Mus musculus: one gene and its partners. The protein of the gene in region 1 binds, or shares a complex with, the protein of each later gene. Links are inferred from orthologs where the notes say so. Each region holds a gene or a part of one and is shown in the gene's direction. Other genes may lie near its edges. The genes, in order: Strn3, Strip2, Pdcd10, Ppp2ca, Sike1, Strip1 and Ppp2r1a.

The links.
Region 2: Strn3 (region 1) and Strip2 share a complex: the UniProt entries of both Homo sapiens proteins name them as parts of the core of STRIPAK complex. The link is inferred for Mus musculus from reciprocal best matches to the Homo sapiens genes STRN3 and STRIP2.
Region 3: Strn3 (region 1) and Pdcd10 share a complex: the UniProt entries of both Homo sapiens proteins name them as parts of the core of STRIPAK complex. The link is inferred for Mus musculus from reciprocal best matches to the Homo sapiens genes STRN3 and PDCD10.
Region 4: Strn3 (region 1) and Ppp2ca share a complex: the UniProt entries of both Homo sapiens proteins name them as parts of the core of STRIPAK complex. The link is inferred for Mus musculus from reciprocal best matches to the Homo sapiens genes STRN3 and PPP2CA.
Region 5: the proteins of Strn3 (region 1) and Sike1 are in contact, whole or in part, in a crystal structure (PDB 6AKL), measured with the Homo sapiens proteins. The link is inferred for Mus musculus from reciprocal best matches to the Homo sapiens genes STRN3 and SIKE1. Residues at the interface, in NP_001077362.1 of Homo sapiens: Arg176, Leu179, Tyr182, Leu183, Val186, Tyr188; in NP_079349.2 of Homo sapiens: Glu96, His97, Ala100, Leu103, Ile104, Ser106, Lys107.
Region 6: the proteins of Strn3 (region 1) and Strip1 are in contact, whole or in part, in a cryo-EM structure (PDB 7K36), measured with the Homo sapiens proteins. The link is inferred for Mus musculus from reciprocal best matches to the Homo sapiens genes STRN3 and STRIP1. Residues at the interface, in NP_001077362.1 of Homo sapiens: Thr64, Pro66, Gly67, Leu69, His70, Tyr71, Gln73, His74, Val88, Glu89, Ala91, Glu92, Ala95, Arg96, Phe99, Leu100, Glu103, Gly106, Gln107, Leu110, Asp113, Leu114; in NP_149079.2 of Homo sapiens: Arg441, Ile445, Tyr447, Leu449, Thr455, Val456, Val457, Gly458, Leu459, Arg491, Ser492, Pro493, Leu494, Ser495, Phe792, Leu793, Pro794, Val795, Asn797, Cys798, Leu799, Val802.
Region 7: the proteins of Strn3 (region 1) and Ppp2r1a are in contact, whole or in part, in a crystal structure (PDB 6IUR), measured with the Homo sapiens proteins. The link is inferred for Mus musculus from reciprocal best matches to the Homo sapiens genes STRN3 and PPP2R1A. Residues at the interface, in NP_001077362.1 of Homo sapiens: Asn109, Leu110, Asp113, Arg116, Arg117, Lys119, Met120, Leu121, Tyr123, Ala124; in NP_055040.2 of Homo sapiens: Leu10, Pro12, Val15, Asp18, Glu19, Asn22, Leu27, Asn30, Ser31, Lys34, Leu35, Thr37, Ile38, Leu40, Ala41.

What each region holds. Positions count from the first base shown.
Region 1 is NC_000078.6:51,650,229-51,654,624, reverse strand, and holds part of Strn3 (striatin-3), read left to right. Parts: intron 1-1,779; coding exon 1,780-1,953; intron 1,954-4,394; coding exon 4,395-4,396. UniProt on the Homo sapiens protein: Calmodulin-binding scaffolding protein which is the center of the striatin-interacting phosphatase and kinase (STRIPAK) complexes.
Region 2 is NC_000072.6:29,954,633-29,958,112, forward strand, and holds part of Strip2 (striatin-interacting proteins 2), read left to right. Parts: intron 1-799; coding exon 800-1,004; intron 1,005-2,025; coding exon 2,026-2,276; 3' UTR 2,277-3,480. UniProt on the Homo sapiens protein: Plays a role in the regulation of cell morphology and cytoskeletal organization. Required in the control of cell shape. Calmodulin-binding scaffolding protein which is the center of the striatin-interacting phosphatase and kinase (STRIPAK) complexes.
Region 3 is NC_000069.6:75,518,190-75,522,585, reverse strand, and holds part of Pdcd10 (programmed cell death protein 10), read left to right. Parts: intron 1-1,476; coding exon 1,477-1,555; intron 1,556-1,801; coding exon 1,802-1,884; intron 1,885-4,396. UniProt on the Homo sapiens protein: Promotes cell proliferation. Modulates apoptotic pathways. Increases mitogen-activated protein kinase activity and STK26 activity. Important for cell migration, and for normal structure and assembly of the Golgi complex.
Region 4 is NC_000077.6:52,118,620-52,123,015, forward strand, and holds the end of Ppp2ca (serine/threonine-protein phosphatase 2A catalytic subunit alpha isoform), read left to right. Parts: intron 1-49; coding exon 50-139; intron 140-523; coding exon 524-685; intron 686-2,313; coding exon 2,314-2,432; intron 2,433-3,282; coding exon 3,283-3,355; 3' UTR 3,356-4,130; downstream 4,131-4,396. UniProt on the Homo sapiens protein: Catalytic subunit of protein phosphatase 2A (PP2A), a serine/threonine phosphatase involved in the regulation of a wide variety of enzymes, signal transduction pathways, and cellular events.
Region 5 is NC_000069.6:103,001,072-103,004,805, forward strand, and holds the end of Sike1 (suppressor of IKBKE 1), read left to right. Parts: intron 1-636; coding exon 637-738; 3' UTR 739-2,843; downstream 2,844-3,734.
Region 6 is NC_000069.6:107,617,873-107,622,268, reverse strand, and holds part of Strip1 (striatin-interacting protein 1), read left to right. Parts: intron 1-214; coding exon 215-397; intron 398-724; coding exon 725-942; intron 943-1,994; coding exon 1,995-2,060; intron 2,061-2,165; coding exon 2,166-2,229; intron 2,230-3,286; coding exon 3,287-3,358; intron 3,359-3,878; coding exon 3,879-3,953; intron 3,954-4,113; coding exon 4,114-4,211; intron 4,212-4,396. UniProt on the Homo sapiens protein: Plays a role in the regulation of cell morphology and cytoskeletal organization. Required in the cortical actin filament dynamics and cell shape. Part of the striatin-interacting phosphatase and kinase (STRIPAK) complexes.
Region 7 is NC_000083.6:20,943,944-20,948,939, forward strand, and holds the start of Ppp2r1a (serine/threonine-protein phosphatase 2A 65 kDa regulatory subunit A alpha isoform), read left to right. Parts: upstream 1-1,510; 5' UTR 1,511-1,562; coding exon 1,563-1,640; intron 1,641-4,996. UniProt on the Homo sapiens protein: The PR65 subunit of protein phosphatase 2A serves as a scaffolding molecule to coordinate the assembly of the catalytic subunit and a variable regulatory B subunit.

The sequences.
Region 1 (4,396 bases):
AAGTGTTAAATGATCATTTGAAACTCTTTTGAAAGTTATAGAGAAGTGTCTTCAAAGATGGCTTGCTAAATCTTTTTAGTCGAAAATCTTTTTTAATATTTTGTATATGAGTATTTTTGCATCTCTTCCTATGGTGTGTGTGTGTGTGAGCATGCATGTACTGTGTGCACATGTAGTAGAAACCAGAAGAGGGCACTGGATTCTACCTCATGGGTGGTAGGAACTCAACTCAGGTCCATTGTGAGAGCAGCAAGTCCTTCTAACCACTGAGCTCCAGACCTTAGTTAAAATTTTTGAGGAGGGGGCTGGTGAGATGGCTCAGTGGGTAAGAGCACCCGACTGCTCTTCCGAAGGTCCAGAGTTCAAATCCCAGCAACCACATGGTGGCTCACAACCATCTGTAACAAGATCTGACTCCCTCTTCTGGAGTGTCTGAAGACAGCTACAGTGTACTTACATATAATAAATAAATAAATCTTTAAAAAAAATTTTTTTTTTTTGAGGAAACTTTTGATACTACTTTGTTGATGTACTAGAGATGATGACTCTATGGCAATTTCTGTTTATTGTTTTTTTTTTTTTTAATCTAGTAGTTCTTTTTCTTTTTTCTTTTCTTTTTTTCTTTTTTAAGATTTATTTAATTTATATGAGTACAATGTTGCTGTCTTCAGACACCCCAGAAGAGGGCATCCCATCCAATTACAGATGGTTGTGAGCCACCATGTGGTTGCTGGGAATTGAACTCAGGACCTCTGGCAGAGCAGTCAGTGCTCTTAACCCCTGAGTCATCTCTCCAGCCCAGGTTCTTTTTCTTATAGTTGGAAATTTTGCTACTTGTATCCTACTGATAACCCTGGTGAAATTAAAGTCATAGCCTATTAAGTATTTGGTTTAGATGAGTGAACTTTGGAGGAATGGTCTGGAATCTGAGATCCTTGAGGGGGGATTAGTCCATCTATCAATCCCTGGCTGAGAACTTATTCTTTCACATACCTTGAACATGTGAAAATTGTGTATTTGTGCTTACATGTATGTGTATAAATTTACATATCTATTCTTTAAATAGATACTTATATGTGTCTATATAAAGGCATGTAACCTGTGTTTATGTATCTCAAAAACGTTTCAACACTGAGGCTTTTTTAGGTATTGAGATAATTGGCTCTTACTCAATGGTAGTTAGTCATACTCTCCCCTCCCCTTCCCCTCCTCCCTCTTCCTTTCTCTTCTCTTCTCTTCTCTCCCCTCCCCTTCCCCTCCTCCCTCTTCCCTTCTCTTCTCTTCTCTTCTCTTCTCTTCTCTTCTCTTCTCTTCTCTTCTCTTCTCTTCTCTTCTCTCCCCTCCCCTTCCCCTCCCCCTCCCCCTCCCCCTCCCTCTCCTCTCTTCAAGACAGGATTCTCTGGCTATCCTGGAACGCCTATAGATTAGGCTGCCTCTGCATCCTGAGTACTGGGATCAAAGGTGTGCACCACCACACCTGCCTTAATTCATTTTTTAAAAAAGATTGTTTTATGTATATGAGTTTTGTCTGGATGTATACATGTGCACCACATATATGCTGATTGCCTACATAAGTCAGAGGGGAGGGTATAGGATGTCCTGGAACTTAAAGTTGACATCATTCTCTTAGACCTGGAATTAGGCTATAACGAAGCTATTGAGACAAAGAAAAAGTTAATTTGTGTGATTGTGGCTTTTTTTCTTTAATTTTTAATATGATTTGAAGGTGGCAGATGTTAACAATATGTTGAATTTTAGCATTTAATTTTCTCTTGATAGGTATCTTCAGGAAGTAGGATACACAGATACAATATTAGATGTACGATCTCAACGGGTAAGGTCATTACTTGGACTGTCTAATTCAGAGCCAAATGGATCTGTAGAAGCAAAGAATTTAGAACAGATCTTGAATGGTGGTGAATCTCCTAAGCAAAAAGGACAAGAAATCAAAAGGTATGATTTGTATTTGTTGATTAACATCATTTAACTTATGGAAGTCAAAATCAGTGATACAACAGTGGCTTTTCATTGGTAGTCTCATTTTCTTTCCTTTTTTTTTTTTTTAAGATGAGCCAGGTTTTTTTTTTTTTTTTTAAGATTTATTTATTTATTTATTATATGTAAGTACATTGTAGCCGTCCTCAGACACTCCAGAAGAGAGGGTCAGATCTTGTTACGGATGGTTGTGAGCCACCATGTGGTTGCTGGGACTTGAACTCTGGACCTTCGGAAGAGCAGTCGGGTGCTCTAACCCACTGAGCCATCTCACCAGCCCTATATTTTCTATAGTTGCATTTATTGTTAGATATTAAATGAATCTATCAAAGCCACTTTTTTATATATAGTAGTAAAATAGATTATTGTTATTAGCTGTTACTGGAGTAGTTTTGAAATACTTGAAAACATTTTAATAGATTAAAGATACTTATTTGCTGTATAAAAAAAATTGATGCTCACAGTCATCTATAGGATGGAACACAGGGTCCCCAATGGAGGAGCTAGAGAAAGTATTCAAGGAGCTGAAGTGGTCTGCAACCCTATAGGTGGAACAACAATATGAACTACCCAGTATCCCCCAGAGCTTGTGTCTCTAGCTGCATATGTATCAGAAGATGGCCTAGTCAGCCATCATTGGGAAGAGAGGCCCCTTGGTCTAGCAAACTTTATATGCCTCAGTATAGGGGAACACCAGGGCCAAGAAGTGGGAGTGAGTGGGTAGGGGAGCGGGGCGGGGGAGAGTATAGGGAACTTTTGGGATAGCATTTGAAATGTAAATGAAGAAAATATCTAATAAAAAATGTCGGGGGGGGGGAGATTTATAAGATGGATTGGTACCTCTCGGGTTTAGGAACCCTAACTAGATAATGGAAGGGAATGAAGAAATTACAGACATTGGACACATATACACAGGAAAACTGGGATGGCTTCCTGGACACTCTGATGGAGAAGTACATCACCCAGAAAGCTTAGTGTGTTTATTATATAAAACTGAACAAGGAAGTGGGGGTTATGGTGTACAGCTGAATAAGGAGGTTAGCTAGTCTTGGTAAGGAGCAGTCCCCACAGGGGAGCAGTCCTCACAGGGGAGCGAGCAGTCTTCAGGACCTTCATTTCTGGGTTTGGGGGTTAGAAAGCTACTATGGGCATTTCTACACAAACTGTTAGCATTCACAATTGGATCAGAGGAAGGTTTTGCTACCACATTGAGCCTCATCCTGTAAAGGGTTTGCAACCCCCATGGGGCTGAGGTTTAGTCACTCGGGTCTTTTTTTTTTTCTTTTTGTATTTTTGAGACAAGGTTCTTTAGGTGGCTCTGGCTGGCCTATAACTCAAAGATCTTCCTGCTTCTGCCACCCAACCACTGGGTTGATCAAAATCATGCATATGACCACACCAAGCCTGGATCGCTCATGTCAACAACGTACATCTACTCAGAACTTCCTCTGCTCCCCAGAGTGGTATATCTTGTGTAATATATGCTTTATAATTTTAAATATGGGCAGTTCTAATAAATTTAGCTTTTGTGTTTTACTATTTAGCCTTCCAATATTTAGGCTAAAGTATAAGTGGTTGTAAATATTAAAAAAATTGCTAACTTGTTTTTTAAATATTTTTCAGAAATAATAGCATGTTTGATCATTTAATCTTAGTAGATTATTTTTCTTTTTAAAGACTTATTTTTAATTATGCTGGGGTGTGTGTGTGTGTGAGATGGGAGGTTATGTACATATAAGTTGTAAGTGCGTGCAAAGGCTCAAAGAAGGCATTGTATCCATTAGAGCCAAAGTTCATACCATTGTAAGCCACCTGATGTGGGTGTTGGGACCCAAACTCAGGTCTACTGAAAGATCTCTTACCTATAGTCTTACCTGCTGAGCCATTTTCCGTCCCCAGATTTTATTTTCTTATAGCATTTACCTAAAATGTAGACAAAAAGCTTTGGTTGAAACTTATTAAACACAGAACAATCCTTATTTTAATTATAGAGCACAAATAATCTTTAAAGATACTCTAGAATAAAAGTTTTAGGCACTATATTATAATTAAGGTATCTTGAACCAGGAGCCTACTGGGAAAGGAGGATCAGGAGTTAAAGGTTATTTTCATCAACATAATGAGTTGAGACTAATCTGAATTATGTAAGATCTTGTCTCACAACAACAAAAAATTAGGTTGTGTTTGAATTGCAGATGCCACCTTCAAGTAGTTTTAAACTAGGAATTAGAAGGGTCAGAATGTGGATTATTGATTTAACACTTGTCTAGCATGTGTGACATCCTGGGTTCAATTTGTAGTATCACTAGATAACAAGAAGGGTATAGGAATAGAAAGCAGGAAGAAATACCAGAGTCAATCTTTGAAATAGTTGGAATCATCTTTTCTCTTTTCTACAGGC
Region 2 (3,480 bases), on another chromosome or scaffold:
GATACACAAGAAACTAGTAATAGTGGAAATGGTATATATGTCAGATAATCTTTGTTTTTAATTATATATTATAATTTTTAAATTTTTTAGATTTATCCATTTTATTTGTGTTTTGCCTTCATGTATATATGTGTACCACTCTGTACTTGGTACCCACAGAGGTCAGAAGAAGGCATTGGATCCTATGGAAATGGAGTTACGGATGGTTGTGAACTATGATGAGGATGCTGGGAATAGAACCCAGGTCCTCTAGAAGAGCAACAAGTGTTCTTAGATGCTAAGCAGTCTTTCTAGTGTGAATATTATAAACTTTACATGAATTAGTTCTTGGTTTTGTTGTATATCACAAAACTGGCTTTGAACTCATGATTAGCCTCTGAATATTGTGATTGCAGGCATGTGCCATTGTGTGTAGCTTAATGTGTGTGTGTGTGTGTGTGTGTGTGTGTGTGTGTGTGTGTGTGTGTGTTAGACAGTGTTTCACTCACCCCAGGCTATCCTCAAACTCCTTATACAGGTCTTCTGTATTGTTGAAGACTAACTCTTGCGTAGAGTATTTAAAGTTCATGGACTTAAGTTATTGGCAGACAAAATAGGTATCTCATTTACAGTCACTCAGTAATATGCTATTGGTATTTAGAAATCTGGACATAAAAATTGAATTTTATGTTTCATTCAATTCAAGATACTTGGGTCTCTTAGGATAGCCAGGCTTGTTTATATGGTCTGAGTTGGAAATCCTAAGAAACTTCACATGATGATGGACTATTTGTTACCCCGTCCCTGTTTCATTGGGCAGATGTTAGTGGTGTTTAAGTCAGCTCCAATCTTAAAGCGAGCTCTCAAAGTCAAACAGGCCATGCTACAACTTTATGTCCTGAAGCTACTAAAGATACAGACCAAGTACCTTGGGCGCCAGTGGAGAAAAAGCAACATGAAGACCATGTCAGCCATTTACCAGAAAGTGCGCCACCGCATGAATGATGACTGGGCTTATGGGAATGGTGAGTATTCCCAAAGTAGATGGTAGGGGTTCTTAGTGAACGTGGAGCTCCTTAATTGGCTAGGCTGACTGGCCACTGAGCTCCCGGGATTCTCCTGTCTCTGCTCCTGCAGCACCGTGGTTATAAATGCATACTGCTGCACCTGGCTTTTATGTAGGTCTCATGATCCGAAGTTAGGTCCCTTTGCCATCTCCTGAGCCCCTAAATATGATATAAACTTTATGATGTGGTAAAATGTTTGCCTCCTTATAGTTTTTGTTTTAGCTTTGTTGTTTTGTTTTATTTGAGACATAGTCTCGCTATGTAGCCCTGGCTGTCCTAGAACTTGCTATATAGACTAGGCTGACCTCAGACTCAGGAGATCTGCCTGCATCTGCCCTCCAAATGCTAAGACTGAAGGCATGCACCACCATGCCCGGCTGAGTTGGTCCAGACTGACTCTTCATGTTCTGCTTCCATCTCCTCTTTTCACCCACTATGGAAAGCTCAATAAGAGGAATTTAATTGCTCTTAACAATTATAATAAATTACGGGGCTGGCGAGATGGCTCAGTGGTTAAGAGCACCGACTGCTCTTCTGAAGGTCCCGAGTTCAAATCCCAGCAACCACATGGTGGCTCACAACCATCCGTAACGAAATCTGATGCCCTCTTCTGGAGTATCTGAGGACAGCTACAGTGTACTTACATATAATAAATAAATAAATCTTTAAAAAAATAAATAAATAAATAAATAAATAAATTACTAGAAAGAAATAAGCAAGAGATTACAATACTAAGCCCTCTTATCTCCTTTCTCAGCAGTTTCTAATCTGCCAAAGATCGTTTCTGTATATGTTAGTTTATATGTGAGCATATGAATACTTTAAAAACCTGTAGGCATGCTATGTGTCTACTTTATATATAGCTCTTAAAAGAACATTTTGAGCAGTTTCACTGTTAGGAACCCATAGACCATGCTCTGCGGAGGGGAGTAACATCCTGAGTTGTATGTATCTTTTTCTTCCTCTCTTCCTATGTCAGACATCGATGCCAGACCATGGGACTTCCAAGCAGAAGAATGTACCCTGAGGGCCAACATTGAGGCTTTTAACAGCCGCCGATATGATAAGCCTCAGGACTCAGAATTCTCACCTGTGGATAACTGCTTGCAGAGCGTGCTGGGGCAGAGGCTAGATCTGCCTGAAGATTTCCATTATTCCTATGAGCTCTGGCTGGAGAGAGAGGTGTTCTCACAGCCCATCTGCTGGGAGGAGCTGCTCCAGAATCACTGAGCTCTTGTCAGCAACGCAGCGGACGGAGGTTGGCTCCAGTAATGTGCTTTGCCTGTCCTGCCCACTCAGCCTTCATACTGAACTCTAGGAATGTGTGTCAAGGGCAGTTCCAGCCCAGCATCCAGCACAGACAGACACCCAGCATAGTTCAGGGCTATTCTGGATACCAATAGACTCAAAGGTGGTTGCAAGACTGGGGTCCTGAGTCAAAGCAAATGGATCAACTTGCCCTAGGCTCAGCTAGGTGCCTAGTTGGCCTTCAAATCTCCCGATGGATCAGACCTGGACAGACTCTTGGAAACCTGCTTTAATCTTGCCTAGAACCCTGCTCACTTTTGTCAGCCACAATAGTGAAAGGAAGTTTGTCATGGCATTTGACCCACGACATTCATCTCCAGCAGGGGGATAGGGACAGGCCATAAAATAAGCCTTGTCTTCTTGCCCACTCAAAATGCCTGGGACGTATCATTTAGCAAAACCAACTTTAGACTGTATTTCACACTTCAAATGTTGATGCTCATCTCTTCATAAAATCATCATTGGTTCTAAGATGGTTTGAGAGCACTGCATCTTTATAAAGGATGACTGTTTCCAAAACACTGCATGTTCCAGAACAGCATACTGTGTAGGGTTTTTTTTTTCCTTAAGAGCTCTGTGTTCAATGTAAAAAATTATTTCATGTGTATTTTCTATAGCACATTGAATGCTTCATCATTTGAAAAGAACCACAATTAATATAATATGGCCTTCTCTAGGAATAGCTTAGACTTTTTACAAAGTACTTCAGTTTTTTCCTATGAATGCCAGCTTTATTACTCATGTACCATCTACAGACGTAAAACCCAACAGCCCCCTGCCCCAAGAAGGAAGTTGAAAAAACATTAACGAAAAGAGCCTATGCCAGGGAGTCCGGAATCCTGTGACATGCCATCTCTGCGTCGGTACCCAGAAGAGAGTGGAAGACTCATGAAGGCTTCCAAAGATTCGGGGAGTCCAGAGTCATTTTGAGAGGACTCTGGGGTTCTGCCTGGTAGTCCCTCCTGATGTACAGTGGCGACAGCACAGTTTCCAATTCTTGCGGGCCTTAGACAACCGCTTGAGCTTCATCTCACGCCTTTTCCTGAAGAACCAAATCCTGGTGTCTCCTTTTGTCAGTTTGAGTGCGTCAGCCTAGGCTTCCAGAGTCTCCTCTTTGGTGGCAGTC
Region 3 (4,396 bases), on another chromosome or scaffold:
TAAGTTCCTGGCCCTACAATCAAGTTAAGTTACTGGGACTTTGTCTAGCCCTGGGTTCCACTGTGACTTTGCTAAAGCTGCTGCATCCTTGGGGCATGAACAATTTTCTTTTCCTCTAACTGCAAGGTACCTTGCTCTGTACTGGGCTTCTTGAAGCTGAAAGACAAGGATGATGGCAATTCTTTCCTTCCGACCTCTTTAAGTGTAGCTAAAAGCAGACTCTCTAGTCACTCACCTGATTGCCCTAGCTTTGTGCAGATATTTTGTTATTTGTGATAGCTCTTTAATTTGCTGTATCTGAGGAAAGCCTCACTAGAGACTGATTCAGCAGCCTGTCATCATGCTCACTTTTCAGATTCCCAGTTCTTAAAAGCAGATACAGATAGACTCTAGCAAAGCCTTTTCTCTTCTTCCTGTCTTGCTGTTCTTTGCAGTTAAGCAGTCTGTTTCTGGGCTGCTCGCTTGACCTGCCCTGTCCAAAAATTTCTGTTGCATTCACATCTTTCGCATTAGCCATGACAACAAGTTAAAAATTACTTTTTTATAGAATACTAACATATGTGATCTATGTGTTCACTGTTACCTTCTTTATATTTATTTTAATTAGCTCAATATGATTTTATTGAAACTTTCATATGTAGAGATTTAACATTTTATATTGGTTACAACTATAGTTTTTCTCAAAAACACAGCAAATTCTGCTGACACTATTTTGCTGAATATGATTGACTATGCCCTTCACAGCAGTGTAAAATATTGAAATTGCTTGAAGATAGAGAGGTCCTTACATGATTTAGGCTGCTACTCTTAAATAGGAGCTGCGATGCTAGCAAGTGGCCAGGTGACATTTCTGTGTGAAAATAATTCTACTTCAGTAGGGAACGTTTTTTGTTCTAGCCTAATGTCAATGGTTTACATATAAGAGGTGGTATATATTCATCATAATGCTTAGGGAAAAAAGGCATTACTATGGCAGGATGAGCTGAAGTACCTCATGATCGGAGAGAATTAAGTATGCAAATGAGCACTTTGAGGGTCTGGCAAGGCATGCCTCAGTTGGTAGAGAGCAGTGTGCCTTGCATGCATAAAAAGCAAGATCCAATCCCCAACAGTGCACTACACTTGGGATGATTGCACTCTGGATATGGAGCCAAGAGGATCAGAAAAGCTCAAAGCTTTTGGTTACATGTAGAGTTCAAAGCTAGCCTGGTTACTTGAGAACATATCTCAGAAACAAAACAAAAAGATACATGGATATAGATATATGAATAGCCAACCATGTGGTGCATACCTTTAATCCCAGCACTGAGGCAGAGGCAGGATAGGTAATCCATGGCAGTTTCTGAGCTACAGGCCACTCTGGCAGGTATCAGTGGGGGAAGTGGAGTGGCATATCATGATTCATAATTATAAATATATATTTCTTAATGTAGATGATTTTAAAGATTTTTGTTGTTGCTGTTCCTTTCCAAACAGGGATATAGCTAGTGCAATAAAAGAACTACTTGATACAGTGAATAATGTCTTCAAAAAATATCAGTACCAGAACCGCAGGGTAAGTTGCTTGTTGCCATTGTACATATGGGCAGTTGTTTTATGACCTTTGCACTAAAGGGTTTGGCTTGTGGAAATTGTCTCATTGCATTTGTCCTCAGATGTAAATGTTGTGTGGTTATGTGAGTAAACACTCCTCAGACCTACGGACTATAAATCATGCCATATTCATTGTTGCCATTGCCCTTTGACTTGGCCTTGTGTGCTCTTCTTCTGTCTTAGCCTGTTTTTCTTTTTATAAACATAGGCACTTGAACACCAAAAGAAAGAATTTGTAAAATACTCCAAAAGTTTCAGTGACACTCTGAAGACTTATTTTAAAGATGGCAAGTAAGTATTGTCATTTATACTTCTCTGCTCTAATTAAATGAATGTTTTTCTGGGATATTGGAACCAGGTTATTTGGGCCAGTGAGAGGTCTCCATGGGTAAAGGCTTTCACAGCCTGGCCTCACAGCCTGAATTTAATTCCACACCCACTTGGTGAAAGGGGCCGGGAGATGGAGAAAATTGAATGTAAAAATTAAAACGGAAAAGCTCTGTCAGCTAAGCTCTGTCTTCCATTGTTAAGAGTCGAGTCATCTGATTAACAAAGGCAGAGGATTGGAGAGTGGCTACTGTTCTTACCACAACTTAAAACCTACAGTAAGGATTTTTGACACTTTCTGAAAAGGACCTGATAATGAAATGTAAATTGTACAGTCTTCACCTGAATGTGGTTGGTTGGTTTGTTTTTTTTGGGAGGGGAGAGGGGGGCATTTGGTGTTTTCCTTTTTTGATATTAAAAGATAAAAAGTAAATCTTAACTTACTGGCTTGTACCAGCCCTAATTTTTTTTTCTTAAACTTTAGTAGCATCTGATGGTATGGGTCTACTATTGGGGTTCAATAATTGAACATTTTTTTAAGATTGTTCAGTTGCTGTCAAAGGTACCAGCCCCTTGAAAAACTAGTACACAGAGGATAGGATTTAATAACAATAATTCGCAATCCTCTCTCCATATTAAAACCATCCTGGGTCAGTTTTTAAAAAGCTCATTGCCACAGTTCCACTTTGAGAGATTTCTACCTTGACTTGAATAGGAACATGGTCTAGATGTTTTGTAAATGTGTCCAGGTGGCTTTCGAGTGATCCCAGGCTAGAGATCCATATTGCTAAAGGGAAGATAAAATAGCTAAATAAGAGAACACTAAAAAGATTGGAAAGAAGACAAAAGCAAATGACTATTTAAGAAAATGATATGGAAATTGTAAGTGGAACATTAGGGGTTTTTTTGTTGTTGTTGTTGTTTTTTAAATTAGGTATTTTCTTATTTTACATTTCAAATGCTATCCCAAAAGTCCCCCATACCCTCCTCCGCCCCCCACGCACTCCCCTACCCACCCACTCCCACTTCTTGGCCCTGGTGTTCCCCTGTACTGAGGCATATAAAGTTTGCAAGAGCTAGAGAAAGTACCCAAGGAGCTGAAGGGTATTCATCCTATTGGAGAAACAACAATATGAACTAACCAGTACCCCCAGAGCTCGTGTCTCTAGCTGCATATGTAGCAGAAGATGGCCTAGTCAGCCATCATTGGGAACATTAGTTTTAAGTTTATACAAAACTTCCTATAGAGCCCTGTGTAGATCTAGGGATTGTGTTTTGTATATGTACTCAGTATTTAAACAGATAGTCTGGGTTATGACATCTGCAATGTGCTTTCATACAGGTTGTTGACTGGACTTTAGTTAAGATGCTAGAAATTATATTGAAAAAGACATATACTTATGTATATATATAAAGCTAGAAAATACTCCAAACAGGCACCGCAAACCTTGAAGTTTTAAGATCCCATATAAAACCACACATTTGTGATATTAGTATAAAATATTTTAAAAGTACATGGATATAAAACTTTTACAATCAGTTTTAATGTTCAGGCAAATATAAATATTTTCATTTATATTACAAATTAAAGATAGTTACATTAATAGTTTTATGTTCCATATGCAAATTCAAATTGTTTAGGGAAAATGTTTTGTGACATAGTTTAATAAACTAAGCCCAAATAGCCGAAGGTATGATTTAGATAAGGGTATAATAATTTCTAACTTTAATTAATCATGTACAATGAATGTTGAAAGGCAGGAGTTTATAGTTCACTAATCTAAAATTTGTATATATTGATATTAAGCTTGCTACTATTTTTCCAATCTCTACAGCTCTAAATTCATTTTTTTTTTTTTTTGTTTAAATGTTGTGAATTTTGTACTTGCTTACTCCAAATGGAAAATTGTTAGTGGAGCAAAATCTTTGAAGACATCTTGTACTAGGGAGACAAATTCTCATTGACTCAACTGGTGAAGATCCAACCTTCATCCCTGGTACAATGAGGGACTGATAAGGCTGTATAATGAGGGAACCATGAGCCTCTGAGAGAACATCCTGGCTCTTAAAGTAGCTTTGTCCCCTTCTCTCATACATTACATCTTCTCACAGTTTTCTCTCCTTCCACTCCTCCTGGTCCCTCCCCCAACCTCTCCCCTCCCCCAGATCAAGTACTCCTCTGCTTCCCTTCCAAAGGGGGAAGAGAGAGAGGCAGAGAAAGAACACAAGAGTGCAGGACTTATCTGGCCTCTCAAGGGATATCTACCAAACTAACAAGATAGAGAAGACTGGGATGGACCCTCATATCATATCTGGACATGACAACTCAGTAGGAGGAAAAGGATCCCATGTGCAGGCAAAAGAATCAGAGACAACCCCCTTCCATTGTTGGGAGCCCCACAAGAACAAGCTATACCACCATAAAGTATATGCACATGACCTAGCTCAAACCCTTACAGGCTCCATGTTTGTAATT
Region 4 (4,396 bases), on another chromosome or scaffold:
AGTTCAGTTTCTCTTAGGTGTAATTAGCACTTGTAATCAATCTTTTTAGATCTTCTGTCTACACGGTGGTCTGTCACCATCCATAGACACACTGGATCACATCCGAGCACTCGATCGCCTACAGGAAGTTCCTCATGAGGTATGGCTGACAAATTCTCAGACACTCCTTAGGAAAAACAAAAATCGTTTAGCTGTAGCATAATTTATCATATGTTCACTCGGGTTTCAAAATGAAATGACATGAGCTCCTTACCATTGCTCATTAGACGTTTAGAAGCCTTCCTGGTCGTCACCACTAGCCCATCTGTCTAATAATAAAACTCAGATACACGGGCAGATGGGGCAAGTTACTGAGTGCAGTGTGCCTTGTGGGAATTGATTTTCATTTCAGAGATACCTTTACTGCAAAAGTTCAGCACACATACTAAGAATGTGATTTTTGTAGAGTGTTGCTTCTGGTGAATTATCAAATGAAGAATTCCACATTTGGAAGTCAGTTTAATAACTTATACCTGCTTTTTAGGGTCCAATGTGTGACTTGCTGTGGTCAGATCCAGATGACCGTGGTGGCTGGGGGATATCTCCTCGGGGAGCTGGTTATACCTTTGGCCAAGATATTTCTGAGACATTTAATCATGCCAATGGCCTCACGTTGGTGTCCAGAGCTCACCAGCTGGTGATGGAGGTATGTTCTTTTCTTGAAACCTGTCAAATTAACTGTAGTAACTGAAGGAAAGGAGTTTGACACTGATGCTGTCAGCAAGATGTCCTTTATTCCTAGAGTCTGCCATGGGAGCTAAACCCTCTTCAGTAGATGGACAGTCAGAGGAAAGTCAGATCCATGGCTGATAGTGGGCATCCACTTAATGACTCGGAGGGACTTGGGATTAATGATGAAAGGATGAAGATGCAGAGCGAATGAGGAAGGGTATAATATATCGCAGTGGTTTATTTCACATTATCTAGTTTGTTTCTTTATAGGAAAAGAAAGAAACATCAAAATGTTGATGCCCTTTAGATAACTGGCTTGTAGATGATTTGAAAGAAGCCTTTCCTCTGGTAGGGGTCTTACCTTAAAACATTGACTGCCATACTTTGAGAATGAGATGAGAACATGGAGCATTCAAACTATGGCAGTGGGCAATCTCTTATTCTATAAGAGTTTGTTGTCAGTACTGATGGTCAGCCAAGTATAGTGGTGCATGCCTCATTAGTTCATTAGTTAGCTAGTTTGCTGGTTGGTTAGTTATTTAGGTGGCAGCTAAACTGCCTTGTAATCCAGACTAGCCTAGACTGTACAGTGAGACCCAAAAAATAGTTCATTTTAAAATCAAGTTTAAGGTTTGTCTTAGGGCTTTATTGCTATGAACAGACATCATGACCAAGGCAACTCTTATAAGGACAACATTTAATTGAGGCTGGATTACAGATTCAGAGGTTCAGTCTGTTATCATCAAGGCAGGAACATGGCAACATCCAGGCAGGCATGGGGCAGGAGGAGCTCAGAGTTCTACATCTTCATCTGAAGGCTGCTAGCAGAATACTGGCTTCCAGGAAGCTAGGATGAGATCTTATAGTTCACACCTACTCCAAGAGGGCCACACATAATAGTGCCACTTCCTGGCCCAAGCATACACAAACCATCACAAGGTCATGTCAATGAAAGACAGTATCTACATTTGGTGATGGGTAATATTTAAGTTGATTTGGTTGGTTGGTTTGTTGGTTTTTGCGGGATATGTTCGCCATGTAGATTAGGCTGTTCTCCATGCAGATTAGGCTCCATGTAGATTCACCTGCCTCTGCCTCCTGGGATTGAAAATGTGTACCACCATGCCTGGCTTGTTTTTCAATGCTTAAGACAAAACAAAAACAGGGCTGGAGAGATGGCTCAGCAGTTAAGATCACTGACTGCTCTTCCAGAGGTCCTGAGTTCAATTCCCAGCAACCACATGGTGGCTCACAACCATCTGTAATGGGATCTGATGCCCTCTGCTGGTGTGTCTGAAGATTGCAACAGTGTACTTACATAAAACAAGTAAATAAATCTTTTTCTAAAAAAGTATTTTTTTGGCAACACAGAGAAACCCTGTCTCAAAAAACCCCCAAAAACAAACAAACAAAAGTATTTTGTTTGTTTGTTTTAGCAACACATTGTTAAATGTACATTTTATAGGTTATGAGAAATACAGAAAATTAACCCCTTTGGAGTTTTTCTATCTTAATGTATTTTTCTGTTTTAATGGGTTCATATTTATGTAGGTTAGTAAGGTTTGTTTGGTTTTTTTTTTTTTTCCTGCCTCTTTTTTACAGGGATATAACTGGTGCCATGACCGGAACGTAGTAACAATTTTCAGTGCTCCAAACTATTGCTATCGTTGTGGTAACCAAGCTGCAATCATGGAACTTGACGACACTCTTAAGTATTCTTTGTAAGTATCTACTCTGAGCTAGCTTTGTGTTGTCCAGCCCTGCTTAAACCAAAGCATAGGTTGTTGACTTTTGACTAAATTTTTGTGGGAATGAACCTACACATAATAGAAACTAGCACTAGTGTCTCTTATTTGGTATGAATAACTTGTATGAGTTACTAGGTCTTCAACCTATAGTCCTAATTTATAGTCCACCATTGAGGGGAAGCTGAGGCAGGAACTAGAAGCAGCTCCTCAAATAACATCTACAGCCTAGATGTAATGTTACCTTCCACCAGAGGCAGGAGGAACTCTGTGAGTGAGGCCAGCTTGGTCTATATACAGAGTTTCAGGGGCTATATCAAGAAGCCATGACTCAAACAAAACAAAGCAGAGAGAAGTGTGTGGGCCCTTGCTTGTTGCTTATGCTCAATTAGCTTTCTTCATTCTTAAACAGATGAAGGCTCTCTGCCTAGGGAATGGTAACAGCCACGGTGGGCGTGGTGTTCTTACATCAATTAAGATGGTCTTCCACAGACATGCTCACAGGTCAACCTGATTTATATAAGTCTAGTCCTCAGTTAGAACTGTTCCCAGGTAATGGTTCTCTTGTGTCTGGTTAACAGCTAAAACTAACCATGTGTTTGTAGCCCAAGCTGGTCTAGAACTGTGATTTTCTTGCCTCAGTTTCCCAAGTGGTAATGTTAGAGCTGTGCCCCAATATACCTAGGTCTATTAAAGTTGGGTTCTATTCTTTTAAAATGTACTGAAGTTGGATGGGGAAGAAAATTTGAAAATTTGGAAGATGTTAGTTTTGTTAACTACATGGTATCTTCTGGAGTAGTAACACTGAGTCTTCCTTGTTTTTCAGCTTGCAGTTTGACCCAGCACCTCGTAGAGGCGAGCCACATGTCACTCGTCGTACCCCAGACTACTTCCTGTAATGAAAATGTAAACTTGTACAGTATTGCCATGAACCGTATATTGACCTAATGGAAATGGGAAGAGCAACAGTAACTCCAAAGTGTCAGAAAATAGTTAACATTCAAAAACTTGTTTTCACACGGACCAAAAGATGTGCCATATAAAATACAAAGCCTCTTGTCATCAACAGCCGTGACCACTTTAGAATGAACCAGTTCATTGCATGCTGACGCGACATTGTTGGTCAAGAATCCAGTTTCTGGCATAGCGCTATTTGTAGTTACTTTTGCTTTCTTGAGAGACTGCAGATATAGGATTAAACATTAACACCCGTGAGTCCAGTTGACTTCACTTAGCTGTAGCTTACTCAGCATGACTGTAGATGAGGATAGCAAACAATCATTGGAGCTTAATGAACATTTTTAAATAAGTACCAAGGCCTCCCCTCTTGTTGTGTTTCTTTCAGGGATACCATTAATTTAATTGTATGATTTGTCTGCACTCAGTTTCTCCCCTTCTCAAATCTCAGCCCCGCGTTGTTCTTTGTTACTGTCAGAAAACCTGGTGAGTTGTTTTGAACAGAACTGTTTCCCTCCTGTAAGATGATGTTACTGCACAAGTCACCGCAGTGTTTTCATAATAAACTTGAGAACTGAGAAAGTCAGGTTTGAATTGTATCAGTGGGCACGACTGGTGCTGTTTATTAACAAGATAAATCTATTGATCAATTTCAGAATTTGTAGAATCCCAGGTAAAGAAAAATAAAGATCAAGGCCACTGTGTAACCTCTCTGGCAACTCCTTGGTGTTCTTCAGAAGAACTTGGGGACCTGTTTGTCTGACATACCGCAGTTTGTCTTGTTGCTGGCCTGCGCTTGTGAAAGGAAATCTGTGCTGTTTTAGTGGGACTTGGTTGTTAAACCATAGAACTTGAGAGTTATGTTTTTAGGATTTTACTTAAAATGGCATGTTTTCAGGTAGAACTTAACAAACTAAATGATGTGTCTAATTAGTGTAGTTTCTGGTTACAAATATATTGCTATGTATATTTCATGGACTCTT
Region 5 (3,734 bases), on another chromosome or scaffold:
ACATTCATACACATAAGATATTGAAATAAATCTAAAATGAAAAGGCTTAATCGTTTAAAGTCCAGGTGTGGCAGAGCATACCTCTAGTAATCTGGAGGCAAGGTCAGGCAGGTATCTGTTTAAGGTCAGTGTGATCTGCATATCAATTTCTAGGCCAGCAAACTCCACTCAGTAGGACTTTGTCTTTAAAAAACAATTTTTTAAGCGAGCAATGGTGACGCACACCTTTAATCCCAGCACTTGAAAGGCAGAGGCAGGTGGATTTCTGAGTTCAAGGCCAACCTGGTCTACAGAGTGAGTTCCAGGACAGCCAGGGCTATACAGAGAAACCCTGTCTCGAAAAACCAAAAAAAGGGCTGGTGAGATGGCTCAGCAGATAGGAGCACTTGACCGCTCTTCCGAAGGTCCTGAGTTCAAATTCCAGCAACCACATGGTGGCTCACAACCACCCATAATGAGATCTGATGCCCTCTTCTGGCACATCTGAAGACAGCTACAGTGTACTTATGTATAATAATAAATAAATCTTAAAAAAGAAAAGCCAAAAAAAAATTTTTTTTTCCTCTTTCTGGGCCAAAATAGTATGTTCTGACATAGTTTAACAATTAAAACACAGGAAATATCTTTTCTCCCCAGCTTGAAAATAAGGAACTTCGAGAGTTACTGTCCATCAGCAGTGAATCTCTGCAGGTTGGAAAAGAAAGCTCTGTGGCTCCTGCCTCTCAGACCATCAAGTAACTGGACTTCCGAAGGCTGGCTACAGCTTGCCCGTCAGAGCGAGAAGCCGTGCCCTCCTCTCCTGCCGTGTCCAAGAGTCCTGCCGCAGACTTGACTTAGTGTTGGGTAGAGGTATGGGGTGGCAGTTTAGAATTGCCACTTGGTATTCATTGTCCACTAACTAGTTTGGGGTGTACTAGTGAAACTAGACAAGTCCCCCATTGCTGGGACAGAGATGACATTTGTCACTCTAGTCCGGAATCTCTATAAACTGTTACCTGCAGTTCAATGTTGTTTTTCACAGCTTGGAAACACTGAACACTTTTATTATAAGCCAGGATTTTATTTTATATAGGATTATAAAAATTCCTTCTAAGAGTTTTTCAAAGATTTAACTTTTTAAAAATACATATTTGGTGTAAACCTAGATTTTTTTTTTCTTCCACTTGTAAAAGTAGCATGACTTCAAAGAAGCAGATTGGCAGAGTCTCTGAGTGACGTCGCTCATCCATGGGGTTTGATCCTCTCCGGTGCTAGGAGTTGGCACTTTGTGGTCAGGTGTCTTTGCTCTTAATTTGAGAGAATCTATTAGTCCCCAGGAAATACGCTTGAAAACAAGTAAGCCGGGTTCGCGTTGCTCCTCCTCCTCCTCAAGGATCCACAGTCATTCAGAGAGTGCTGAGGAACTTGGGCCTGCCCCATCATGCACAGGGAGCTATTAGATGTACATGACTGTACATGTACATTGGACTTAAATGCCAAAAATAGCTTTTATTTATTTGACCAAGTAGTTTTCCATTCTGTCTGCCTAAGGAGTCTTCGGCTTAGGTAGTTGCCTTGTATGAGACATACACATACACACACACACACACACACACACACACACACACACACATACCTCACTCACAGGTTCCTAGCTCCTAGGCACTTTCATGGACACACAGCTGTGCTGTGCTGTGCTGTGCAGAGCAGCACCACTGGGATGGTTTAGACCGGCATCAGTACTTTGCTGTCTTTCCATCTGCTGGGTTTTCTCATGGAAGCATTTTATTACTCACAGAAAGTTACCACATTCCTGATGCCATGCATTCAGGCAATCAAGAACAACCTGAGATTCTAATAGCTCCCTGTCAGTTCCTTCTCATCTTGGTTTGCTCATATGTCAGGTTTATAAATAATTCCTTTTGCACTGTTTGCCCAGATGGACTTTGGTTTTTGTTCCCATGTTAACTTTCACTCCAGCTGCTCCCCTTGATGTTTCCCCTAAGGGCCCCAAGTGTGTACTCCACAAACCCATTCAGGGGTGGGTTCCTTTACCACTTGTCAGCTGTCACAGCAGGTCCCATCACAGTGAGAGCATTATCAGTCAGTCTATTTCAGCAGTGAGCATGGTGTCCCTTTCTTTATCTGCCTTCTGTTCCCGTAGCACTCACTACAAAGGTCTTTGCATCTAGCTTTCAGAGGAATCTCTCCATTGCAGTCCTGAGGGTAGAGCAAGCTTTCGGTGCCCTGTGTCGTATAAATTCTGCCTGGTGTTAGTGCTGTGAAGGCATTGCAGAGCTAGCACATTGAATGGAGAAAGAATGTTTCACACTTGTGTGAAGATGCTAATATCTCTTGCAATGGGTGGAAGTATTTAGTGTATAAAATTTTAGTATGAAATTATATTAACTAATAAAAACCTTTTTGAGAAGATTTGCTCATTTTACTGAGAAATGAGTCTAAGAAGTTGAGCTGGAAAAAAAAAGGAAGTTTAGCTGAGCAGTGGCGATGTACACCTGCAATCCCAGCACTTGGAAGGCAGAGGCACATCTCTTGAATTCGAGGACATGCAGGTTTACCTAGTGAGTCCCAGGAGACTACACAGGGAGACCCTGTCTTGAAAAAAGCAAAAAGAAGTATAGGAGATTTTTTTCACATATTCACATACATAGCAACCATGGCAAGTGTTCATGACATAGATGTCATAAGCAGCTTGCAATTATTCAATATATTCAGCAGTATAAACCTTTGAAAAGCACATTAACAACCTATTCATTGCAGAAGTCCTGAATGTATAATTTACCACTGAAGTCTATTTCCATGTTTCTTAAAATGCACCTAATGAAATAGAAATTTATGGATGGAATCTGGAATTTACATCTTAATAATCATTCCAGAAAACGGCAGTACCGGTTTAAGAACATGTCTGTTAGGGCTAGGAGATGGCTCAGCAGGTCTAAGTGCTTACCATGAAGTCAGATGGCCTGAGTTCAATTCCTCAGAACCCACATGAGGGAAGGAGAGAACCAACTTCTAAAAATTACCTTCTGACCTACAACACACAAACAGATAAATTGTGTATGATGTTCTGTGCAAATTATTTCACTAGGAGTTAAAAACAAACCGACTTTAAAATGAGAAGAGTGGTAAAGGGATATTACAGAGGGGTGGGATATAGCAGCGCTATTCCCCTCTATGCTGCCTGCCCGATAGCAGCAGATAAATTGGGCATGGTGGCACATGCCTGTAATCCCAGAATTTGGAGCAGAAGCAGGAAGAGCAGAAATCCAAGGTCATTCTTGGCTACATAGTAAATTCAAAACCAGCCTGGGCTACAAGAGACCCTGTCTCAAAAAACTAAACAAAATGTTGTGCAGATAATTTTGATGCAGTGTGTTACATCAGATGTAAGTGTAGGATACAGCACAGAAAGGGCTGTGTTATTTGAGAATCTAAAAGTTGACCAGGGAAGGGGGTGGGGGAGGGGTGGTGCTAGGAGAAAACATAGAAAACAGCTGCAGAATCGAAGTCCAGGGGGTCCTGCAATGGTTACTTCCTTATACTAAGGGGTTTTCTGTGTCAGCTGACACAGCATCCCCGCTTCAGTTCTTTACAGTTCCATACATACTAGAAGGTTCTAATTTGTCCAAAGTGGAGCCAAGAATCACACTCAGGCACTCTTCAGCACATTTCTTAAGGACCAAGTTAAGGCACCTTTAAATGCACATAACTGTGGAGTTCATGGATCTTGATCG
Region 6 (4,396 bases), on another chromosome or scaffold:
GCTCCCATCAGCCAGTATTTCATTCTTTCCTTCATCCTTTTGCTCTTGTCCCTTATAGAGAACTCGGGACTCTCCTTAAAGACTTTAGTTTTTATCCAAGTGGCTGTATGGGTCTCTATAAAGGCTTGGGTTCTCGTGATGTCATGCATGCTTTTTAGAATAATGATACCAAAAAGGACATGGCGACCTAAGTTCTGCACCCCATTTTACGCAGTGCACGCTGGGCGGCTTTGAGGAGCTGCAGAGCATGAAGGCTGAGAAGCGCACTCTCCTGGGCCTTCCCCCTCTGCCTGAGGACAGCATCAAGGTCATCCGGAACATGAGGGCTGCCTCCCCACCAGCCTCTGCCTCAGACCTGATTGAGCAGCAGCAGAAGCGGGGCCGACGGGAGCACAAGGTGAGGCATCTCAGAGTACACACTCAGGGAGTGGGGTCGGGGCACATGATTCCTGGGCCAGCAGGTTATGAGAAGCCAGCTCCGATCAAGCTGATCAGGAGGCGTGCCTCCACAGCAGGGACACTGTCCCCAGCCTCAGCCCCAGTGTATAGCGGATACTTAACATCAGGGCAGCTTCTGAGGTTCTCTTCATTCTAGTCCTAAATCCTCCGTATTCCCTGCTGTTGTCAGGTCCCCATCTGAGATGGGTCTGTTCCATTTGAACTCTGTTCCTCGTCACCATCTCATTGGTTGGCTGCTTTTCTCAGCTCTTCTCTGTGCTTTCAGGCTCTGATAAAGCAGGACAATCTAGATGCCTTCAACGAGCGGGATCCCTATAAGGCTGACGACTCTCGGGAGGAGGAAGAGGAGAATGATGACGACAGCAGCCTGGAGGGGGAGGCTTTTCCCCTGGAGCGAGACGAGGTGATGCCTCCCCCACTACAGCACCCTCAGACTGACAGACTCACCTGCCCAAAAGGGCTCCCTTGGGCTCCCAAAGTTAGGTGAGTCTCAGTTCTAGAATATTCTTGAAGTGAGAGCCTTCATATCCTAGGTCAGTGTTGGCCTGGAGTCCTCTGCAAGGCTAAGATGACCTTAAGTTACCATGTGCTGTCCTGGGCACATCTGTGAGGACGGCCTTGCTGATGTCACACAGGATAGATAACCCTTGTGTGGTTCCTGTGTCAGTAATTTGAACTGGTCCAACTTGATAGTGAACAAAGGCAAGGAGAAAAAAATGAGTATTTAGGCAAACCTATCCCCATTCATCTTGGAGCTGTATGTGGCCTTTTATTTAAAAATGATAGATGGAGAATTTTTTAAAAACCCAATGTATTAAACAGTATGCTTGGGGGAGTTAATAGATGGGAAGGTAGCAGGAACTGTTAAAATGGTATATTGTAGCTGGGCATAGTGGCACACGCCTTTAATCCTAGCACTAGAGAGGCAGAGGCAGAGGCAGGTGGATGATGTCTGTGAGTTCCAGGCCAGTTGGTCTACAAAGCAAGTCCAGGACAACCAGGGCTACACAGAGAAACCTTGTTTTGAAAATAAAACCATCAAAAAAGAAGTATATTTGGTAGGCAGCAACTTAATAAAGAGATGTGTATATGAACTGATATAAAAGAGGGTATGTCCTGAGCTTTCTATGTTGTGTGAGAAGAATGTTTCTGTTGAGACAAGAAAATGACCTGTTTAAAGTTAGTAGCTTATGTCTCTTACACTTCATGGTGTTTAAATACTACTATTGTTTAAATAAGTGTTAAATACTACTATTGTTTAAATAAGTTGTGCTTTAAGTTTTATATATGTCCCTAATTTTGAGTCAACTGGCCATATGTATTATAGAAATATAAACATACTTTAATTGTATGAACCTAACAAAATTATGTAAAAAAACAAAGTAGTCAAAATTCAGGTTTTCCCACTTACTGTAAGAGACCTTTTCCTGTCTTGTAAACACCTGGAGATGCTTTGTCTGTTTGAACACAGGCCTGTGACTGGCACACCTTGAAGCAGTACTTGATAAAATCTGCCCCTCTTTCTTGCTTGGTAGAGAGAAAGACATTGAGATGTTCCTTGAATCCAGCCGCAGCAAGTTCATAGGCTACACTCTAGGAAGGTGAGTGTGACCTGAGGCCTCTTTGAAGTGCCCTTGCCTGGCCTTGGGGCAGCGGACCGGTGAGTGGCTCTCTGGGCTCAGCATAAGGCCTTCTTTATTCTCCAGTGACACCAACACAGTGGTGGGGCTGCCAAGGCCAATCCACGAAAGCATCAAGACATTGAAACAAGTAAGTGGCACTAAGGGAACGTTTGGCTTTGTTTGGTCCCAGGAGAATAAAGTGAGCCTGGGCCAAGGGAGAAGCCTTTCAGGGCTATTGTCTGCCAGCAAGAGCCTGGGAAGCATCTCTTCCTACGTCTGACTTCGGTTACAGATATGTGTGTCCCAGGCTTTAGAGTTCAGGGAGCCCACGAGGTATAAGGCAATTGAGAGGCACTGGCGGATGGATATGGTGCTGTCAGCTTTGCTGGTTATAGCATGGCTGGAGAGCAAGGCTTAAGAGCACCATAGTGGGTGTGCTCTAGCATACTCTATAAACCAAGCAAGCTCAGTTTCCCAGGCCCAGAGAGCTGGAGTGGAGGGCAGACAGGACCCAGGCTCTCAGCAGGCAGGCAGGTGGAGTCCCAGACCATCCTGTTTTCCTCTTGTGCTCACTGCTGAGAGGGAGCTGAGGGAGCTGTGGGTGTGAGGATTAGCGGAGAGACGACCCCAGGGGTCAGGAGGCTTTCCAGTGTGTCTAAACTGTAACATTTTAAAGTCCAGTTTTGAAATTGGTAGTACCAGGTGGTCTCTGCACTAGGCTTTTAAGAATACAGTTAGTTTTGCCTCTGATATCTTTCTCCTGTCATTTTTTAAAAAAGATTTTATTTATTATTATATGTAAGTATACTGTAGCTGTCTTTAGACACACCAGAGGAGAGCATCAGATCTTATTATGGATGGTTGTGAGCCACCATGTGGTTGCTGGGATTTGAACTCAGGACCTCTGGAAGAGCAGTCAGTGCTCTTAACCACTGAGCCATCTCTCCAGGCCCCCTCCTGTCGTTTTTGCTTCTGAAAGCCCTTTCCACTTTATTTTGCTTTTTTGCTAACCTCTATGGGCGCTTTTCACACAGGCTTTTTTGTCAGAAGTAGATTGCAGGTTTAAGTTAGGAATCTTTGTTGTGACTTAGCCCTCTCTCAGAAGGCCAAAATAAACTCTTGGGTCTTTGCCAGGTGAGGGGGGAGTCTGGCCAGAGAAGAGGGGTGTCTTTCCTCAGCACCTTCTTTCCTGCCTCTCTCTCCAGCACAAGTATACATCAATCGCAGAGGTCCAGGCACAGATGGAGGAGGAATACCTTCGCTCTCCTCTCTCAGGGGTGAGTTAAGAGACCACAAAGTCCCCAACTGCTCTCAGTCTCTGAGCCGGGCCTGGCCACAAGGCTGCTCCAGGAGTCGGCCTCTCCTTGAATAGATTGCCATCCATGTCTTCCTTTCAGTCTGTGAATGGCACCTTGAACATAAAACTCAATCTCTCTGTGCTTTGTTTCCTACCTGTAAAAGAAGACCAGCGCTAGACTAAGGCCGTCTCTCTCTCTTATCTACTTATTAATTTGAGATATCATCTATCTGTAGCCCAGATGGCCTCAAACACCTTTCCCAACCTTACCGGTGCTGGGTTACAAGTGTTTGCTAGCATGCATGACTGTGGTACCTCATGAAGAATTAGTTAAATGATTCCGGGTGACATTCTTGGGATGTCATATGTTTCAGAGCCTCCTGTCAGTATCACCAACATCACCCTTCACTTTGATACTTAGAGATTCTATTCCAGCCAGCTAGTAAACTGCCTCAGGGGACTGTAGCCTGAGCATGGGTTGTGTGACTTTTGTGTTAAAGGGAGAAGAGGAAGTTGAACAAGTTCCTGCAGAAACCCTCTATCAAGGCTTGCTCCCCAGCCTGCCTCAGTATATGGTGAGTTCTCTGTGTCTGAGACCGCGAAGGAGCACGGGCTGCTCTCCTTCCTTCAGCCTGCAAGGCTCCTGCCACCTGAGGACCCTCAGGAGTCCCACTTCTCAGGGCATCGTTGTGGTCCTAGGTTCTGATGCTCACCTGAGTGGTCTATTTTTCCCAGATTGCCCTTCTGAAGATCCTACTGGCAGCAGCTCCCACATCGAAAGCCAAAACAGACTCCATCAACATCCTGGCAGATGTTCTGCCCGAGGAGATGCCGTGAGTGTCAGGGCCATGAGTGGAACAGGTTGAAGCAAGGGTGGAAGGGTGGGGCCAGGAGTTTTCAGGTGAGTTGCCTTCCTTGACCCAGCTTTGCTGCAGGTGAAGTTTAGGGTATTTCTGATTCAGACAAAGGAATCAATTGGATAAGTTTCACTAGTAAGGGAGATGGCTAGGCCTGATGC
Region 7 (4,996 bases), on another chromosome or scaffold:
GAGGATGTTTTTTCCAAAAGATCTGTTAAATCAAAAATGGTCCAAGAAGGCACTGTTTGGAATTCCTCTCCATAGCCTCTCCTGAGTTCCCCAGTTTTCTGTTGATTGGTTTCAGAAACACATAAAGTACAGTATAGAAGAGTTCATATAAAGGAAAGAAACTGAAGAATGGCCAGAGAGATCATAAAAGAAAATACACTCACAAAGAATAGACAATGGTACCATTGTGCCAAACTCTTTTAGTGAGGTAGCGTATAAACTGAAGTTTCTAAGCCAGACCATTTGGATTAACTCTTATGGGATGAGGCAATGGTATGGCTGTCTTTTGAGGGTTACACCATAGACCTTTGACTGGCCCGGAGGTCACTATGTAGACCAAGATGATGTCAATCTCAGAAAGATGACAAGTTTTTGCTTCCTGAGTTTCATGATTGAAAGCATGTGCACTTTCACACATGGCTATGCCTTCTGTTCGTTATCACAAGACCAAGTGTTTCCTATTCAGGGCCAGAGATATGTGATCTGCATCATTACTTAGGAACGCCTACTCTCTGTGAGGGGGGGGGGGTTGTTTGTTTGTTTGTTTGTTTATTTCCACTCTCTGTGAGGGTGCTTTCTCAATTTTCTCTCTAATTGGAGAGGAAGAAGGGGGAAGGGAGGAATGGAGGTGTGGGGGGGAGGATGATGGAGGAGGGGAGAGGCGAGGGGAGTCGAAAGGAGAAAACAAAAATCAAGTATAGAAATAGCCACGCTTTAACAACCTTGATAGCATCTAACAACCCCGCTATGCCCACCTTCTTCCCTTTCATATTTTCAACCTTAAGGAGAAAGGATTGTGATAGTTTTATATTCGCCTTCTAAGTGAATCACAGCGCCCAAGCTCATTATGAGGCAGAGGTCCATCCTCAAAAAACTTTCGACCTTGTTCATTTTTTACTAGCTACCTAGAAGCTCCCCGGCAGGATGAAGACTCGCTCTGGCCGCTCTATTTCTTCCGGGTAAGGGGGGTGGGTAATAAAGCCTTGAACGCCAAGAGCCCCAGAACCGCATCCTAGAAACCAAGCAAGGCAAATCTCCCTACTTAGGAGTCCCTCCTTTACAGAGACCGGTATAGCAGAACCAGACAAGCATGTCCTTCATTACGTCACGCATAGCTCCCAAGACTCCAGCTTAAGTCTTCTCCGCCTCTCCCCAAGGGGCCATCTTAGCCACCTCCCACCCTCGACTCTCATTGGCAGCTAGACCTGCTTGTTCCCGTGGTTGCTAGCAGCGACGTAGGCGGGCACAATCTTGGTCACTAAGATACTTCACTTCCGGTTCCTCTCGTCCTTCGGGAAAAACATCTCATTCGTCCGGCCAATGGTGAATGAGAAGTAGGCGGGACTTGGTTGGTTCAGACCAAACAGACGCGAGCTTGTGCGGCAATGGCGGCGGGACGGCCCCTGTAGGGCGGCTCGGGCGCCCCCACGTCCGCTTTGCGTCCTTTCCCCGGCACCGCCCCGCCCGATCCCGGATTCCGCCTGGAGCTCGCTGCTGCCTGATAGAAACGCCAGGGAGCCAAGATGGCAGCTGCCGACGGTGACGATTCGCTCTATCCTATTGCGGTGCTCATAGATGAACTCCGCAATGAGGACGTTCAGGTACGGGGATCCTTCCGTTAGAGTGTGTGGGGGAGATCGGGGACGGGGATCTTCGCGGAATGTGGGAGCGATGGCTCCGGGTTCTCCGGGAGTGGCGGAAAGCAGCGGCAGCCAATCAGAATTCAGGTCTCATCTTTCTTAATAGCAAGGTTCGATGAGATGGCAGCCTTCATTGGGTGCCCGGCCAAGCGGAGGGCAAGCCTCGAGGGTCCTACCTGAGTGCGCGCGGCCGCCCCAGATCTGGGCCTGGGCGGCCCGAGATAGGGTGGCGGTCTTGTTGCCGCCTGCCAGTCGGTGATTGGCGGCGGACTCAGAATGGCTCTTTGTAGAGAATCGGCGGGGGCGCGTGACCTGCTGAGTAGAAACCCTCAGGGGTCCTGGCGACCCGGGTAGAGTTCCCATTGCTTTTAATGTTTTCGTTTTAACTGGAAGGAGTGGGGACTGATATTGGGATTGGGGACTGATACCGAGATTTCTGTCCATTCTTCACCGACCTCCACCTTGTATTTTGGGTTAGCTCTCCTGAAGGAGGAGGAAGGAGGCGGTGAAAGTATCCTCTCCTGAGATTTAACTAGCCGTAGCTGGGGTGGGTAACGTGCACAGACCCACCTGTTCTCCGACCTGGTCCCAAGCCGGCCTGCCAAGAGAGTTGATAGTTCTGGTTCATGGGAGAAGAATGAGCCAGGACCCCAGAGTTGTCGGACTGCTTTGGATTTGAAAAAGAGGTCAGACCTCAAGGCCGCATCCTCTCACCTGAGGATGACCTTGTGTGCACATTATTTCATCGCCCCTGGCTTCTGTTTTCTACAAATAGCGGCTAATAATAGTCCTGGTTTCCCTCGGTGGCCGAGGAAAAGTAGTAAAATGAAACTGGCTGTATGTAAAGGCTCTATAAATGTTAGCAATTATTTTGGGGGTGTGGCTATTGTGGCACTGTGCTACAGCCCTCTGCTTTTCCTTTTATATAGAATTGTTCATGCTGCACTCAGTCACCTTCCTGAACCTGGGCCTATCCTCTAAGTCTTACGTATTTATGTGTGACTCTGGTTCCATTGTTGGCAAGACTGGATTTGTACTCCTGGATCTTGCAATTTTTGCAAATTGACTCAGGCAGTCTGTGTTTCTCTTCTGTTAAATGGGAATAATAATCTGGTTTTGGGTATACTGAATGAATTTATTTGCATATGTTCTGTAAACACATGCAAAGCATGAGGAATGTTATTGGGTCATAAAGGAGACCAGAGCTTGGTATAGTGGTGCATGCATGCTAGCAATCCCAGCACTCAGGAGGCAAAGGCAGTGTCAAGGCTAGCCTGGTGACACTGTATCAAGAAAGAAGCAGTCTGGTTGCTGTACAAAGGCTAGATGTGAAACAGGTAAACAGAACTAAATCTGCATATTACCACATGTAAGAAAGAATGAGACTTGTCAATGTTGAAAGAGTGAATCAGCAAGTGTTTGCTGGGCCTTTCTTCAGAGTGGTATTTTGGATAGTTGAAGAACAAAAGAACAAAACTTGCCTTAAAGGAATTAACCTTTTAGTGAGTGGTCACAGATAAATAGGCATTATGTTGACTATGGAAAATTTTAAGGAGAAAATAAGAAATGTAGAGTAAGCATGGGAAAGTCTTGTTGAAATTTGAAACAGTACCTGCTTGTTGAAGGAGCCATTAGATTCTGGGCAGAGTGTGTAACCTCTAGACAGTTGGGTGAGGAATTAGGCTAGTTGAGGGAGGCTCCTTCTAGGATGTAAAGTTTAAAAAGTTGGAGATGAATCCAGATAGAGAGAGAGAGAGAGTGTGTGTGTGTGTGTGTGTGTGTGTGTGTGTGTATGCGCGCAATGGCTATAGTTCTAGTTTTTTGGCTCCAAGGGTGTTTAGTAATGTCTAGGGATGGTTTGGTTGCCACAACTGGGAGATTGTTGCTGCTTTTAGTAGGTTGAAGTCATGAATGCTGTTAAGCATGATTGCAGTATATAGGACATCTTTCTTAGGTAGGAAACAAAGATTTTAGTGCTAAGGTTGAGGGAAGCTGTTGGATGAAATGTTCACCTAGAGACAATAAGGAACTTGTCTAGCTTAGGTCAGTGTGCCAATTTTGTCAGGATCCTGTAACAAGTCACCATAAGTTTAGTATACAACAACATAAAGTTTTATTATGTTTCTGGAGATCAGAAGTCTGTCAGAGGTCTTGCTGGATGAAAATGACCTCATGACAGCATAGCCTTGAATTAGGCAACAGGGCTACACAGCTTTCTGCCACTTTACTCCAACATTCACAGTGCCATCTTCCTGAACAAAACAATGCACACTGTTGACAGAAAGAGTAGAGTGAAAGAACTGTCCACAAATGGACAGGAAGCGTGGTGTTCAGGACCCCTACTCCTAGACACAGTGACGGTGCAGATAGTCAGACTGCTTAGGTTCTGCTTGGGAACTCACTGCTTTCTATCAAGTGCTTCTTGTTTTGCATCAGCATCCTCGCCTGTTAATATGGTTTTTCTAGAAAACCTCAGAGCAGAGTATGAATAAACTACCTGAGTATACAGGGAACACTTTATAGATGATCCATGATGCTATTATTGCTGGCATGAAGATTATGAATGGAATGGTGGTTGCTCCCTGATACCATCCATTGTCCTTAGGGCTGCTGCTCACTGCTCACCAGTTGTCACCCTGGCCCATGCATTTCCCATAGTTCAGATGGAAGAGGAGCACAGGCATGTAAGAAATTGAGGGAAGAATGTTGAAAACTAGTATACAGGTCAGCAAAAGACAGCCTTAGTACCATATCCATCCACAGCCAGCTTTTGCAAGTAAAGTTTTGCTTGAGTGAAAGCCATGCCAGTAGCTTTATTAAGTAAAGCTTTGCTGGAATAAAAGACATGTTTGTTTGTTTACCTAGTGGTTCCTTCCCATTGCAGCTGTTGTGCTGTGAGCCCAAGTTGAGTGATTTAGAGACTGGCCTGTGAAGCTGAGAACATTTACCAGCAATTTAAAGAACATGTTCTTTTCTGGATACTCAGCAGTGCACTGAGCACCTGCAGGCTAACTGCCAGCATCTAGGGAGTGTTTGCTATATTTGTGGGGTTTTTGTTTGTTTTGTTTTGTTTTTGTTTTTGTTTTATCTTTCTGTAGCTCTCTGCACATTTTATAGTTTGAGTGAAAATAAATTTTGGGGGGCTTAGGGGTGGGGAGAGCGTTTATAGCACTTTAACTTGAGATCTTTTTACTACCAAAGTGAGATTTGGTTCCTCTTTGGTCCTTCCACTGTTCCAAAAACATGGTGACATGGAATGAAAACTGCTATATACATTTTTGTTTTGTGTTAAGGTATTGTTTTGTAACCTCAGCTGA